2 linked regions of the Oryzias latipes genome follow. The protein of the gene in region 2 binds, or shares a complex with, the protein of the main gene of each other region. Links are inferred from orthologs where the notes say so. Each region holds a gene or a part of one and is shown on either strand. Other genes may lie near its edges.

What was found.
Region 1: the proteins of paxip1 (region 2) and histone H2AX are in contact, whole or in part, in a crystal structure (PDB 3SQD), measured with the Homo sapiens proteins. The link is inferred for Oryzias latipes from reciprocal best matches to the Homo sapiens genes PAXIP1 and H2AX. Residues at the interface, in NP_031375.3 of Homo sapiens: Phe871, Thr872, Gly873, Phe874, Pro876, Lys907, Thr909, Arg910, Thr911, Val912, Lys913, Pro986, Glu1050, Leu1053; in NP_002096.1 of Homo sapiens: Gln138, Ser140, Gln141, Glu142, Tyr143.

Annotation. Positions count from the first base shown.
Region 1 is NC_019872.2:15,231,594-15,239,503, reverse strand, and holds histone H2AX, read right to left. Parts: upstream 4,066-7,910; 5' UTR 3,967-4,065; coding exon 3,541-3,966; 3' UTR 3,355-3,540; downstream 1-3,354. Other genes in the region: phospholipid transfer protein C2CD2L, read right to left, coding at 6,309-6,559, 6,853-7,066, 7,471-7,604. UniProt on the Homo sapiens protein: Variant histone H2A which replaces conventional H2A in a subset of nucleosomes. Nucleosomes wrap and compact DNA into chromatin, limiting DNA accessibility to the cellular machineries which require DNA as a template.
Region 2 is NC_019875.2:13,216,951-13,225,812, forward strand, and holds part of paxip1 (PAX-interacting protein 1), read right to left. Parts: intron 6,865-8,862; coding exon 6,752-6,864; intron 4,981-6,751; coding exon 4,218-4,980; intron 4,144-4,217; coding exon 4,049-4,143; intron 3,966-4,048; coding exon 3,870-3,965; intron 3,040-3,869; coding exon 2,902-3,039; intron 2,023-2,901; coding exon 1,901-2,022; intron 1,510-1,900; coding exon 1,325-1,509; intron 1,204-1,324; coding exon 1,160-1,203; intron 1-1,159.

The sequences.
Region 1 (7,910 bases), on a different chromosome or scaffold from region 2:
CTCCTTCTTCACATATGTTGGGTTGCTCACAAAGAGAGCGTTTTAGTCAGTAACTGTACATCTTTCCACCAGATCCTCCCCTCTGTCCAGCCTTCTTTCTCTCTCCACTTTTTGCCATTGGAGTCAGTAAATTCTCTGTCCCTCCATTGCTTTGGTTTTTCATTAAACAAAGCGGCTCTTTGGACTTTCTAAAGAGCTCTTAATGCTTTTTTAGAACACCATTGCACCTGACTTTGATTCATTCACTGTGCACTGAATGGAGAGACTTCAAGGGAAACTTTAAGTCTCTCCTTTTCATGACAAGTTTTAGAACAAAGGGACAAAATCACAAAGCCAAAACAATAAGATTTGCTAAATTTAGAGCCATCTGTGCTGCTAAATGTGAAAAATATAGTGTTCACAACCAACAGAGACTGTGGTTTTCCTTGAGGGCTGGAATTTTTAGTCTGGATAATAGTTTTGGACACGTAGTCAGTGCCTGGGTAATTGGTTCAGTCTGTCCTGAGCTCAGTTCAGACCTTTTGCATTAAGCTGCTGTTGCCACTAATAAAGCGGTCAGAAGAGACAGAAATATCAGCAGGATCCTCCTGTAGGAAGGAGATTTCAGCTGTTCTGAGGTGCACTAAGAAACCCCAACATCTATTTTCATTTGACATGAAAAAACCATATCTGTTCCCAGAATCCCAAAATTAATTTAGCAGATCCATGCAATAAACTGTTTTACAAAAAAACAGTTTATTGCAAAAATTTTATTGTTAAATAGATATTTAAGTTTTAGGCTAAAATTTAAATTAGAGAGGAATTTTAAATACTTAAAGATACAGGCTGACACAGGCACATCAAGCATTTTCAAGCGTCGCCCTCTAGTGGCAAAGATGACTAACTACAATCCTAACATATCTGCAGTGTTCAGTTGAATTCCTCACCTTTTCAAATGCAAAAGATATTTAGTATGAATTAATAATATTACATATATTTGTTTTTTTACATGACAGGCTTGACACAGAATAAACATTAATATCCATGCTTATTAAATAAAGAAAACATTTCTTTAATTCAATTAAAAATAATTTAAACTTCCTTGTGATCATTCAGCTCTATCATCAACACTGCAAAAAAAGGATGTTTTTGTCTTTGTGTGCAAGAAGGGAAACACCTGCAGGTGAACACATGTAAAACCGTTAGAATGTGTTTTGCAGGCTTTAACCACACATTTAGGTCACATGTGTTACAAATAACAACAGTTAAACCAAACAGCAAAAAAAACAGGTTATCAACACCTCAGTGACTCCACATGTGCATTCACCACGCTCATTATCAACGATGTAGTTTTAATTAGAAGTGCATTCAAAATAAACAAGTTTTAATTATGTAGTTGAGCAGCTGCAAAGACTACTATGCAATACATTTGTGGAAGACGTTGCTCGGAAGGTTTGCAAAACCCCTTATACCAGTGTTTTTCAACCTTTTTTGAGCCACGGCACACTTTAACCTTGACAAAAATCCCGCGGCACACCAGCATCCCAAAAAAAAAAAAAAAAAAAAGCAGAAACTCATAGTCTGTTTTGATCTACAGCCCCCCCCCCCCCCCCCGCCCCCCCCCCCGGCAATCTGACGTGCATTTTTGTGATAATTGTGGCAGAAAAAGCAGGAAGTTGCAGATGTTTTTCTAAAAGATGTAATAAAATTTAAGTTACATACAAACTGTATGTTCGTTGTGTTTTCAAGACGCTGTCCCTTTAAGCCAATGCATCATGGGAGATGTAGTGTGAAAACTGCGAGAAAAGGGCAGAAAGACTCGCGTCTCTGAGCTTCATGGTTTTGTTCACTTGTTCCACGGTCTGATACCGCATTCTGTGGAAAGTTACACTGCTAAATACGAGCTTTAGCTGGTGTTTTTGTCGGAACTGACTGAGTTATGAGCTAAATTGGAACAAGGAAGTGGAGACTTTAACCACTTCTGATTGGTCAGACTGATGACATGTGATTAAGCCTTCAAGAATGATTGGTGGTGTCGTGGAGACAGTAAAAGCTGCGGGACTTTTCCTTACACAGTTATAGCTGCAGCTATTTCGCGTTACCGTCATTCTTATCAAAATGTCTTTAATAGAATCAAATAAACACAACGAAAAAAGTATTTTATGATCGTTTATATTCCTAACTACTCAGTGTTTTATCAGGACCTGTTTGGATGAACAAAGAGCTGATTTCCTGGAGATGGTTAATGTTTTTAGATCAGTTAATGAGGGCAATTTTCCACGGCACACTTGACCATCTCCCACGGCACACTAGTGTGCCGCGGCACACTGGTTGAAAAACACTGCCTTATACACTTTGGATTACCAATAAAATAAGTTTCCTATAAGATAGTTCACAGAATTCATGCCCAGCTAAAGTTTTCATTCAAAATAGCTTCAAATTCAACATAAACTTTGTAGTTTTTGTTAAACAGTCATTGATCTTTTTTGGTACTGTCCTCAAGTTGAAGTGTTCTGGCAGAATATTTATGATTTCATTGTTGATGTTCGTTTTAGCTGGTTCTGGAAGGATGTCATTTTAAAGATAATTTAAATGGGCTGGGCGTGACCGTAAGGGATGAAACGGACGGATGGATGGATGGTTCGAACGTGGCAATGTCAGTATCATGAATGGATGGATGGGTGGGCAGACTCTGGTCTGTTCTTAATAAATCTCCAGCTCTTTTTGGCCAAATGTCCTATTCACAAATGTAAAGTCTCTGGGTGAAACCTGTTATTGAACTCTTTTTTAAGTTCAATCTGTATATTAAGGATATCCATAGTTCAGAACAGCGTCTGTGTGTAAAATGATCAATAAGTTGTCGTGAAGATCAACATTCTGGTTTATCATTATGGTTTGGTTATTTTTACATGCATTATTTCATACCTGACTCTGGATATTGGCAATTGTTATGCAACTAAATGGAAATCTATATTGGAAATCTTCAATAAGGTTTTAAACAGTTTAAAATTCAACCAAAGCTAAGTCAGGGTTTAGTTTCCTGCTGGACTTTTAACACTAAACCGGTTTGGAACAAATTGTCGATCATGATTCAGATCTATTAGTTTCCTCCTGACTTTGAAGAACATTTCGTTTAGTTTTACTAATTACGACATGCTATGATCACAATTTTGACAAATCTCCTGGTTTTGTAAGATCAAAACTACATTTTGCAGTATAACTTAGTTAATTTGAATTTGTCAGACCTTAGGACACAATTTATCCCGGTTCCGACATCTTAGTTTGTTTACTACCTTATGCAATGTAAATGTTATGAAGTCCTTTAATATAGTTTAATTTTCTGCTGAGTAGGGAAAGAACACAAAGAAACAAGAGTGAACAATCAAATTTTCAGTTTAATGAAAAGCCCTGAATGTAACGTTTTACTAAGTACATGTTACGGTAGTTTATACAGTAAAGTCAGTCATCGGTCATATGTACATCATGAGGGGAAAGGTGCTCTTTCAGTGAGTGAGTGGCCCTTAAAAGGGCCTTTGGTTTTTAGCGGCGATAGCTTAGAAGCTAATATTCTTGAGACTGCGAAGACTTCTTTCCCGCCTTTCCGGAACTTGGTGTAGCCTGGCCGGTCTTCTTCGGCAGCAGGACGGCCTGGATGTTTGGCAGGACGCCGCCCTGGGCGATGGTCACGCCGCCAAGCAGCTTGTTCAGCTCCTCGTCGTTGCGAACGGCCAGCTGAAGATGGCGTGGGATGATGCGGGTCTTCTTGTTGTCCCTGGCGGCGTTCCCGGCCAACTCCAGGATCTCAGCGGTAAGGTACTCGAGCACGGCGGCCAGGTAAACCGGGGCTCCGGCACCTACTCTCTCGGCGTAGTTTCCCTTACGGAGTAGACGGTGAACACGGCCCACGGGGAATTGCAGACCAGCACGTGAGCTGCGGGTCTTTGCCTTAGCGCGGGCCTTTGCTCCAGTTTTTCCTCTTCCGGACATATTCGATGTAGAAAGTTCCCTCCGGTTTGTAAACACAAACGTTGTCTTTCAGTGCTGCAATACAGATATCCAAATAGCACCACGTTGACCTGGATATAAACCCCGTTTTGGTCCCGCCCTAAGCATCGATTGGCTTTCAAAGAGGAAGTACTGCGATTTCATTGGTTTAGCGAGACGAAACCGGAAACGTTGGTCAACGTCTTCGATTTACAGCGTTTAGGCTATGAACCAATCACGTAAAGGGTTGTGGGATAAAGGGAAACGATTGGTTAGTACTTTGGTCTCCATGTTATGAGTGGCTATGTGGCAGACACATCAGACCAATCGGAAATGTTCCCTCCAGGTTTAAACCTTTGGCGGTTTTAACACAGCCGCTGACCAAAGTCACGTGAATAATTGAAGCTGAGCAGCAGAGTTGATGGTATCTAGAAAATTCCAAAACCTAAGATCATTTCTTTTAAGTGTTCAACTACATGCCAGATTATACACTTTGTGGCATAAACTGAAATAACCTTGATATGTACAGTATATGTGTGTGAATTTTGAAAGATTGTGAGTGTTATGGAATCTAAGAACTTTATTGATGTTTACATAAATAAATAAGCAAAGGGACGTGTTTGTTGCGCTGTATTTTAGCTGCATATCTTGGCAAAAAGCTATCTAAGCAGTTTGTGTTTTTTCCAATAACTCATTTTGAGAATGTAGGAACAACTGGATACTATTTACTTAAAAAGTTACTTTAAATTAAAGACTTTAGTATTTAGCATACTGTTACAAACAGTTGTGTTAAACAAACCGCTTACCTCTTATTTTTTTCAGGAACTCCAGCTTAGATTTACCAAGCTGTGTTCGAGTTATATGATCGAGTTTTGTTGATTAAAAATTCCCATTGAGACCAAATCTCCTTTTCAAGGGATACCTATTTACTTTTTAAAGACATCTTCTCCATCCAGTATACCTGGATAAATAGTGGTTTGAGAGGGAAACCATACGGATCTGCAAGAAACCTTTGTGTAAGGAAAGAGGTTTGTATACTGATGTATTTTGTATCTTTGCTGTAAGAATCTTCTTTGAATAATGCACAAAAAAGAGAATACAGATGCTAATATTAAGTAATAGTTTAGAAAATAATTTATTTGCAATAAATACAATTTTTGAACAAGTAATAGGTCACACAAACTTTCAATATTGCAGTTTCATTCTTGTAAATTTGTTTTGTGGATGCTTAGCTCCACCTTTGAATATATATCTGTCAAAAGAGAAGAAAAAACCTGAATATTAACACTTATTTCAAGTTTGTGCCCTTCTCCCCTACTTATTGCAGTCACTGATAAAAGCAAAAATCAAAATTCAGATAAAAAGTCATAAAACAGATAATGTGAATTCTGTTACCTCTAATAGCATTGGAAGGGTGCAGCAGATTTCCATTTTATCAAAACTGAATTTGTAGCTCTGAGAACAGACCACCCATCTTGTAAAAATTTCTCTATCTGGCTACCTTTCAATGTTTTCTCTTACTTATAACAGTTTCTCAAGGTAATGCAACTGTTAAATGCAAATGCAAAAACCTGCATTCTTAACTCTTTTTCATTTAGACATTTTTTGAAACAATGAGGTCACCCAGTAATGACATTTATAGACATAATAATTTGCATTAAGCATCACCCACAGAGCCAATCTGTTTTTTGTTAGTCATATAAGAAATGCTGGCAAAACAACATTTTTGAAAACAAACTCAAGTTCTGATATTTTACATAAAATGAATCACTCAGATATAACGGTGAAGTGACATCTCTAAACGTATATAATGCCAAGCAGATATGAGGGCACAATAAAGCTAAATCAAGACAAATTTGGTTAAGTTAAATCAGTCCTTAAACTACAGTTTTATTTTTAAAAAAAACATGGTAATGTCTTATTTTTACAGCATGATGCAACTTGATTGACGCCTTTTGGGGGTGTAAAATAAGTATCACATGAATCCCAAATGATATTTGTACAACCACAAACTTTACAGATATTGTAAAGAAAGAAAAACCTTCCAAAGTGCAACTGGCAGCATCTCCATGAAAAGTTTTTTCTTCAGCCAGTGTCAGCAAAGCTTTTGCTTAAATAGAAGACAAAATATTTCAGTGTAGTAATTACCTTCTTCTCTCCAAGCAGCGGATTTCCTTAAAGACGAACACATTTTCTTATCCAATTTCAGATTCTGTAAAGTTGTCTTAAAGGTGCAATATTTTTTTTTCCTCTCATAGCTCCCAGTCCCTTTAAGAAGCACAATACCCACCAGGGGTGCTTTGCTTGTCATAAATTAGTGCAGAAGTTGATTTACAATCGGGTGATTAGTTGTCCACTGCGCTTGCTCCTCCATTGGTAGCTGGAACCGTGCCTTTAGATTTGCCAGACGAGCGGAAAGAGAAGCGCTTGATGAGACGCCGTGAGAAGCTTCCAGACTTCTTGCGGCTGATCTCTGTAGTTGTAGGGGTAAAGTTGCTCATGTTGGATATGTTCTCGTGGGACTGGCTGAGGCTGGAGTCCTTCTCTCGATGTCTTTTGCGGAACCATAACTTTGTGCCACTCTGGAGAAAACTCACTGCAGGAAGCAGAAAGTTCATGTTTTGGAATACGGTACTTTGTGAGATTAGCTATAGTTCTTTAAAGTTGAAGCAACCATTTATTTAACCCTTTTTTTAATCAAAATATCACTTTTTAAAATCCATAATCTATCATCTATTGTTTTGCATTCTGTAGCTCAGCCTCCAGAGGGCAGTATTTGCACAGTCAGACATTGTTACCTGTGAGAACATGCTGTTATGTAAGCTACATCATCATTCCTTAGAAAACATCATTATATTGGCAAAAATGCAAATAATTTGTTTACCTCACCTTTATGGTCTTTGAGGCTCCGGGTTTCCAAGCCACCTGCGGATCCAGTGTCGGATTCCATGTCTTCTACAGACGGACGCTCCGACACGTCAGAGGGCGTGGTTTCATCCAGGTCCTGATGGTGCCCCGCCTTGCAGTGGTTGCCGTGCATGGCTGCGTCCATTGCTGCCGCATAGTCACTCGACAGTGTACAGTTATCCTCTGTGAGGGGAATCTATTGAGAATAGAAGGGAGGAGGGAAGCTACACGGTGAAAATCCAGGCTTAAAACACCGATTAAGATCAATGCTGTTACAGCAGATTCCAGTGGATTTGGATTCTGGTGCACTGACCTGCCTTAAATATGTTTTAACAGATTTTCACACATAAATTTAGGTCATCCTAATGTGAAGAAGACCAAAGAGGTGGGGGCTGCTAAATATAGATCTCACTATAATTGTCTGGATCTATGTCACTGTATCCTACATTGTTCCTTGAGGTTAAAAGCTCCCTACTCATGTATTCAAAAAGAAAATCCACCTTTGAGCATGCCAAGTGAAGTTTCCCTGAATGAAGTTATATGATGAGAAGGTTCAGGTATCGAGAAAGGATTAAAACCGTTACAGGATATTTCTCTGACCTTTGACACGCCGGAGATGATCAGCGTGCTCTTTTTTGTCGGTGTCCTCCGAGCAACTTTGCACGCCGACTCTGTCAGCTGCCGAATAGCCGTTTCTGCAACAGGATCCAGGCCGTTAGAGAGGCGACTGCTCTCTGAGCAACAAAAACACAGATGTGTAAATCAGTATTTTACCATTAGAGTTTGAAACACACTTGCTAAGTCTCGTGAATTTCACTAAATCTGTCTTAATCGCATTTTGATTGGTGCTGTATTTGTTTTTGTTTTTTTGTTAAATCGGATCCCTTGTGAGCCTCTCATTAGACTCGAGGATTTTCAGAAGGACTACCTGCCTAGAATGCATGATCTGTCCTATAAACTGCATTCCTTTTAGCTTGTGTAACCCTGCTCTTTGCTGCTTTGCATTTGTTATGTAAAACAGCGTCTGCTTTTCAGTCTGG
Region 2 (8,862 bases):
TACAATGTCATGCATGTCAAAATTGTCTGACATCATACCGGTCCGTGGCGCTAAAAAGGTTGGGGACCACTGATCTATAGGAAGCATCTGGAGTCTGAAAATCTTTTTCTGACAGAGATGAGCCGCAAGCGTCTCGTAAAATCAGAGGTTGCAGTTCTCTCTTTAGGCAGTCCTGTAAACAGACTCTGCCTAAATGTGTAGCAGAACCTCCTAAAGAACCAGGAACTAAAGCCCAACAGGAAACAGCTCAGGTACATTAAGGCAAAGTGTCGGCATTTGCTCACAGTTCAGCGGGAGGCAGAGAGTGAATGCTTTTAGCAGGAACCTCAATTATTATGTTGAATCGTTAGGTTGAACTTCTCTTAATCATTTTACAACAGTAGAATCACTGAAACTCAGAGGAGAATCAGCCATTTTAAAGCCTGATGGGCGAACAACAGAAAACTGACACAAAAATCATGATGAACTGATAGGACTGAAGTGAATTCTGGACCTTGAGGGAGATTCAAAGTTGATTTAAAAGTACAGTCTTGTTTTGTTTTGGTCACTTCCCTGACTAAAATTCTGACTTGGTGCTAGGGCTGCACGATATGAGGAAAACTCGCATTGTGCCATATTAGTGATCAATAACGCAATGACGATATAACATGCCATCCATGAACAAATAGCAAAACAACCAAAAACATTTCTATTTCTCTGAAACAATTTAATTTAAATTAGAGTCAATGTAACTTAAATTATACTCCAAATGACCCTCATCTACATAGGAGGCAGTCATCTAACATAATAGGCCTCCTTCTGATTGGTCAACATCTTGAAGGCGTCCATCTGATTGGTCAAATGCATAAATTGATTTATTTGATTCGCTAAAAACTTCATGCTGCCATAAGATTGTTTTAGCACATTTAAGGTAACCATATATTTAAATTTCACCATTTTTTGTAATTAGTATTGCATAGCTTGATATTGCGATAACGATACATTTTAGATTTATTGTGCAGACCTATTTAGTGCCATATCATAAACAATTAAAAATAAATATATCAAATTAGCAGATATTAGTCTGAAAATATCAGCATATTTACACAAAGCCAACATCCTGCATCTCCAGTTCAGATGAACACTAAACCCTCAGAACGGTGGAATAATCCAAACTCACCGCCAGCGCCTCAGGTGAAACTTTGACTGCAGTTCTCCAAGCAGCTGCAAAAAGAGGAAATCCAGCACGATGATCAACAAACACCGTGTTGGAGACGCCCACATTTTTAAACCATTCAGTTTCTATCTGGTTTGGGGTGAAAACAAATGTTCCGGCTGCTCATACCCAACAGGTTTTGGACCAGCTGTGGATTAGGAGCCAGAGGTTCCGGGTGGCCGTAGAAGGAATATCGGCTGTGCTGGATCTGCCGCAGCGCCTCAAAGTTGCCCAAAAGTATATCACACAGCCACTGAGCGTTGACGCAGGCGATCTTCCACTCTTTAGCCTTTTCATACTTAAGTCCACTCGGTCTGCAGAGAAATTAATCCACTACCATTAAAGTCATTCCATTTTCAAACAGGTGATACAGTTGTTGAAAGCAGCCGAAGGGGGACAAGTTCGACGGTGTGTCGCCCTTTGGTGAAGTCCCACAATCCTTCACTTGGCTGCAGGCTGGCCGAGAACTACCAATAACTACCAATCCACTTGTAACAAAAGCAGCAACTAATTGAAGTTGTGCTGCTGTAAGTTGTAAGTTCAGAGGCGGAGTGAATCAGCTCAGTAGACATTCGACAAACGCACCAGGTTTGGGATTTTTGCATGCAGTCTGCAGTGCTGCTGAGTTTTAAAGCAGAGAATTTGCTTCTGAGCATCCATCACACTGATGCGTTCCACAGCACTCATTCATCTTCCCAGCCTTACTCTTTGCAGATGAGGACGGTGTTGCTGCGGCACAGGTATCCTGTGAACCTGGCACCGGCCAGGTAAGCCATCAGCTTCAGGTCGTCTCTGTCGGCATCCACGAAGCCCGTCACTGATATGATCTGAAAGAGGGGTCACGGCAAACAAAAAGCTTCAACGCCACAGCACAGTCCAAGGTTGAAGAGATCAGTTCTTAGAATTTAAATGGATTCATTGAGTTTATTCTCAGCGGAGGATTTCTTGATAATAACACCCAAAGGGCAGAAACCTGTCAGTCCGGACAAAACAATGGTAGATGACAGCTTAGAGAGACACTAGACAACCGTTTATCAGTTTTACTATTTCTTAGCCCTTTTGCACCAGAGCTTTAGCTCCAGTGTTTACATTCTTTGGACTTCCGTAACTCTTTAACCGTTTACGCAATTAACACAATTCCAACAGATTCTGAAGTGGAGAGAAGCAGCTTTGCACCAATATGCAACACTTTACTGACGTAAAGATACTTTTCTTCAGAAGTACGTTAATTGCGTCAACGGTTAAAGAGTTGCTGTAGTTCAAGGAGCCTGTGTTATTTAGAGAACAGCTCCAGTATGAAATGATTAGGCGCTATTGCAAAAACTACCGGTAAGTGTGGCCTTTGTTTTTTAATGAGCCAAGAGTTTGGCTATTGTGACGCATGAGCCAGGCATCCGATGAGAAACCCATTTTAGATGGAATCTTTCAGTGGTGCGACCAATGAAAATCTTGGATCACACCAGCCGTTTGGTGGTAAAACCAAATAAAATTGCTGCAACCCTGAAAGTATTCATGTAGTTTAATGAGACATTACCCCCATATTGTTGTCTTAAACAATCAGTGGGACTATGGTGAGACTAATACATTTAGAGTTAAAGCGCTGAATTAAAAAAAAACTCAATACATTTGTAAAACACATTTGATGCTATAAAAACGCACAGTTCAAGTGTCCCCTCTCCCCAAAACGCTGTACAAAGTGGACTTACATGCTGAGAGCAGGGTTTTGCCCCCGGAGGGAAAGCGAAGGGCAAATGCAGAGTCCGGTGAGGAGGAACCATTCTCTTCTTCTTCAGCACTGTGTTGAGCCAGTGAGCCGTGACGCATCGCTTTCCTTCTCTGAGAGCCTGATGGAGATAAAGCAGATGGTTGAAAGGCTAACAGACTCTGGTAACTCTCCGGTCACTGGAATGGTCTTTCAGAGTCCAATCTTCATTTCTCTCGATGAAGCACACATCTAAAGAAAATAAAGCTCAAAATGGCATTTCTGAGGATTTCTTGATTCAAATTGGTGTTAATCAGGAGCAGAGAAAAGAAAATGCAGTTTGAAAAGCTTGCAGCTGTTCCGTAGAAGCTACTACGGGTGGATCATCAGCTTCCTGCTCCGCTCCATTCTGATGCATCCACTTGCAGACAAATAGATCCACGATCTTCATTATCCTTGTCTGAGCTGGAACCTGGATCAAAAGTGTACGACTGGATAGCTCCAATATTGCTCAGCATTTTAGTCGCACACATAATGATAGGTTGGGGGTGCGAGGGCTGTAAGCCAGCAGGAGAGTGTAAACAGGTGGCTGACGAGGAGTGGGAACGGGTTTGCTCTGCGCCAACAGTCCCGCCTACAAGTCAGAGGCAACTTTCTAATGAACTCCTGCTGCTCTGCAGAAACTATGTCCTAAAAAAAACAACACAAGTTTTTGGGTTTTGTCTAAAACGGTACAATTAAAAGACCACTGGGAACACTTTTAAACTAGATCAAAAGATGATCGGAGAAGGACTTTAAGAACTGAATTATTAATCTCTCCTACATGATCAATCATATAATAGTTTGAATTGAAAGGGATGCTACCCGTACATGTCCCTCATGGGTCAAAGTTCAACAGGTGCACCAAAAGATTTGATTTTGAACAACTGAGTCCGATTGTACAGGTAAATGAGCTTTGCGGTGGGTTCTTACCTGTACGTACACGTTGCTGACCTGACTCTCACATAGAAGATGAGTGCAGCGGCTGGTGAGGGTGGGATCCACGGTACCTCCACAAGCCTGGATGACCTGGTAAAGGAGTTTGGATAAGTAACATTGACCAACCTCGTTTGCCTGCAGTCTTTTTCTGAATGGTGGGGTTGAGTTCCTACCCGTTTCCATGTAGCGAGTAACTGTTTGTCTGCCATTTGCTCCGGATAATCAGCAATAACAAACACACATCCAAGCAAAAAGCCATCCTGTGGAACTGAGAGCAGGAGTTCTGGTTCAGTATTAGTATTTCCCAACAAATGAATCCAGATTGATGCTGTAACGACTCACTGTCTAGCCCTGGTTCATGTCCAAACAGCTGGGAAACAGGCTGTGGGTGGTGAGGCTGTGGGTGCTGATGCTGCAAAGTGGTGGTCTGCTGCTGTGGAAGCTGGAGGACCTGCTGGTTCTGGTTCTGCAGATGCTGCTTCTGGAGGTGCTGCATGTGCTGCTGTTGCTGCAGCAAATGTTGTTGCTGTAGATGCTGTTGGTGCAACTGCTGTGGATTCTGTTGTTGTTGTTGCTGTTGCTGCTGCTGCTGCAGCAACATCTGCATGCGCTGCTGCTGGAGCTGCTGCAGATGTTGCAGCTGCTGTGGCAGACCTGGTCGCAGGAGCTGCTGAGGTCGCAGCTGCTGCTGGGGGAAGGCGTGGGGCTGCTGCTGCTGCTGGGAAAACATTTGCTGTTGATGCATTTGTTGTTGTTGTTGTTGTTGTTGTTGCTGCTGCTGCTGTTGCTGTTGTTGGTGCAGAAACTGCTGCTGCTGAGAGAAACCCTGTTGCTGAGCAACCTGTGACTGTTGCAGCTGCATCATCTGATGCTGCTGAAGGTGCATTATGGGATGCTGCTGCTGCTGCGGTAACTGGTGGTGTTGCTGGGCAGTCTGGTGTGACTGCTGAAGCAACTGCTGCTGTTGCTCTGCTGTGACGGACTGGCCTGTCAGCTTGGAGTGGTTAAAAGCGGCGGGGTTGCAATTGCTCGGGGTCTGAAGGCGGTTCTGATTGGTCTGAGGCTCCATAGCTTTCGTTTGATTCCCTGCGAGATTTTGGATGATCTGCAGGGAGACAAAGAAATACTTTGAGAAAAACAGAACTTAAGCATCTTTAGACTAACCACCACTCATGGAAAATCAGCTGTCAGGAACGCATGACAACAAATAGCTTTTGAACAAAGTGGAGCAGGAGCTACTGAGGAGGATGATACTTGCTTTCTGATGCTTTTTTGTGTGACTTTTGTCAGAAGTTAATGCCATTTATAAAGTTAGTAATACTCAAGTTTAGTGTTAAATAAAAGTACTTCAGGTTCAGATTCAGCCAAGTTTACAAACAACGACAGCATTTACTGTCAATTTTGATGCAGACGCAGACCATAATAATAATACCTTATAATATGATCTATAAGGTGTAAAATTATAACAGTATAATCTGTAACAATAAAGTATCCGACATGCAATGTTAAATGGTTTTCATGTACATGGTTTGTTATTTGTCTTCTCCCTCCTGTTTTTCACGTAGAAAAGTATCAATAAGAATACCGGATTGATGCCACATTGATAAGAGGAGTAGTATTGATCGAATCTTAACAATACCCATCCCTAGTTTTAAAAGCCCATCCATCCATTCATTCATTTTCAGATCCCAATGCATTCCTTTCAGGGTCAGTGGGTTGCTGGAGCCTATCCCAGCTGCTGTTGAGTGAAGGGGGGTTTATGCTGAGCAGGTCGTCAGTCTATTTCAGGTCCACACATTCACACTTGGGGACAATTTTGAATCACCAATTTATCTATGGATCATGTGTTTGGACAGAGGGACGGAGCTGGAGTCCCCGCAGAAATCCCACACGTGGACGAGGAGAGTATGCCAAGTCCAGCTGGAATTTCAAGCAGGGCGTTCTGCTGTGAGGCAAGAGAGCTAACCACGACACCCCCATGTAGCCTTAGCTTTAAAGGCCTTTTTACTGACAACCATGAACTTAAGGCCTGATCAAACCCTGTGGAGCAAACGTTTTGCCAGGCTGGGATTCAAAAACTGTTTTTTTCAGCTGCAGTCATTGAATGATGGTTATGAAGTGCAGGTCACTGAAACCCATCACCATAGAACACCAAATCTAAATCCTGATCGTGAATTACTCATTTGTTTACTAAACCAAAGTGGTCAGAATGATTCTTCTTGACTTTCCTGCTGCTCCCTTTAGTGGTCGCCACAGTGAATCAACAGCCTCCATCCATTTCTATCCACCCTCCCCCGACATCAACCCCCGTCATGTCCTCCATTACATCCATGAACCTTCTTTCTTTTCCCACATATCACTCCAGTCTTATCACCTTTTACCAACAGAACTACTGATCCTCCTCTCAACATGCCCACAGATCTCAATCTGTTTGCTGGCATCCACCTCCATAGCATCCATCATGAGCTGTTCCTCTGATAGATACTTTCCTGCCACTCCAGACTTCCATCGCATCTGTTGTCTTCTTTTGCCTGAAGCCATATTGTTGATCATAAATGTTCATGTCTGACTTCAGTCTAGTTTCCACTACTCCTAATAACTTCTTTATGCGACTCATCAGCTTATTCCTCTGTTTCCACAACTCAGAACGTCCCTCTTGTTTTTCAAAATACACTTTTACTCCATTCTTCAGGCATCATGTCACTCTTCAAGGTGGATAATCTCATCCATCGTCACGACAACGTTCATTGACAAACACACCCTTGGCAAATACCAAAAACTGAACTCAGAGTCCTCCCAACTGCATTAGAAGGATTAACCACAGAGGAGATAGATGGAGATGGGCAGCAGTAAGTGTGTGTGAAGAAGCTTTTTACATGAGCGACGTTGGGTGGTCGGTTGGCAGTCTGCACATCAGAGGCATTGGTGATGTTGCAGAGGGTTATCATGGCCGTACTCCATCCAGGAATGCCTTCAGGAACCGGTACACCTACAGAAAACAAATGAAAGGTGGAAAAGAAATTCAATCCTATGCAAGCGTTCTCAGAATAGAGCCACGCCATCACCAAAGGATTACATTTTCATCTATCCCTATAGAAGAGGGGCGTCACAATCACAACTATTAAAACAAATTCAATATGGCTTAAAATAAAGGGTTGTAGCTGTGACAAATCCTTAAAATCTTTTAGCAAATTTAGCAACAATTATGAACTTTCAGATTAAAAGGCCACTTTTGTGGTGTAATTCTGGCTTCTCCATTATAAATGCAAAAGTATTGTGTTGCTGTCGGTCACATGACTCACAAAACCTTATTTAAGTACTTAAACTCTATTGGGGGATCATATTTAATGGATTCAATGCATCATGTGCAGGGAAGGGAATCTCAGGGTGACTCTCGATACGACGTGATTCACCATACATGGATCACAATTTCATATTGCAATTATCAATGTTACCTTGATCATCTAATATACCACTATTATATAAACAAATATATCTTTATTTTCGATGAAACCTTTTTTTTAAACAATTTAAAACACAATATATGAATTTAACCATCCTTTGCAACAGTAAAATAAAATGATCAATAAATACTGCTGTGTCTTTGTAATAAAAACATACACTTAATGATAACTAATGAACAAAGCTCCAATTATGAACTAAAATGTATATCAAATAGCCTCAGTGGAATTAAAAATTCACAATGATGTACTTTAATTATTAATATGAACATTCAGACCCATATTTCGTCACACCCTAGTCTTGTGTGCTATTGTGTTTATAGATGACTTTATTAATCCCACGATGGGGAAATTTCATTTATCTGCAGCAGCAACAACGACATTCAGAAATAATATATATAATATAACATCAAAAAGGACATTCATATCAAATTATTAACAATTTTTATTAAAACTAATTAATAAAAATATTATTAGAACTATTATCAAAATGATTAAAATAATTATTAAAAAAAGAGAGCAATTATAATGTCAAGAAGATAGCATCCTTTGCTATTCATTTTCATTAAGTTATGAATGAATATCTGAAATAGATTTTACAAACATATGTATTTTTATCATCTCATCTTTGAAATCAATCATTCATGGAGGATCACAATACATCAAATATTTATCAATTGTACGATTTCCTGGTCATTGCAGGTTTGCGCTGCTTATTGGCTGTTGTACAACAGGTTTTACGGTTGCCATGGTGAATGAAGGATGTGGACTCAAAGAGCATGCCGTAAAAATCTAGATATTTTTCTTCCTGGAACTATTTATTCAGTAAAGCTTGCATTTTTGATGCATTGATTGCTTGCTCTCCATATGACTGACATGAACCCTTTTACACTGGAGCTCTGGTTCACATTCTTTCTACGTCTGTAACTCTACATCCGTTGACGCCATTAATACAATACCAACGGATTCCAAAGAGGAGAAAAATGCCACACCCTATGGTAATGAAGTGCTTCCGAGATCAACATAAATCAAGTAATTCTGTCATGGAGGAAAGCAGCCTTGCGTCATTTATTTGTGCAAAGCCGATATGAAAAGCCGCTTTTCTGGGCGTCAGAATCGGCTGATTCGCCTTCATCCCATAAACCAGGGGTCGGCAACCGGCGGCACCGGAGATGCATGCGGCTCTATCATCCCTGTGTAGCGGCTCTCCGTGGTTTGGTAAAATAACCACCATGTTCCAAGATTGCTGTGGTGCCTTCAACACCATCAGGTAGTGCGAGCGGGCAGGAGGAAGAGGGCAGCGTGAACGCGCGGAGGGGGCGTGTCTGAAGCTGTGAACGCCGACCAGAGTCTGTTATGGGATGGAAAGTTTTTCTGGAAAGACAGTCAGTGGGGATCTCGTAGGGGACAGATGTACATCAAAGAGCGTGTATTATTCGAGTGTCGCCTATGACATCTTTGAACATACAGACTGCAAGAGATCAAAGGTCAATTGGGCTTCCAACACCAATATACCCCAAAAAGCA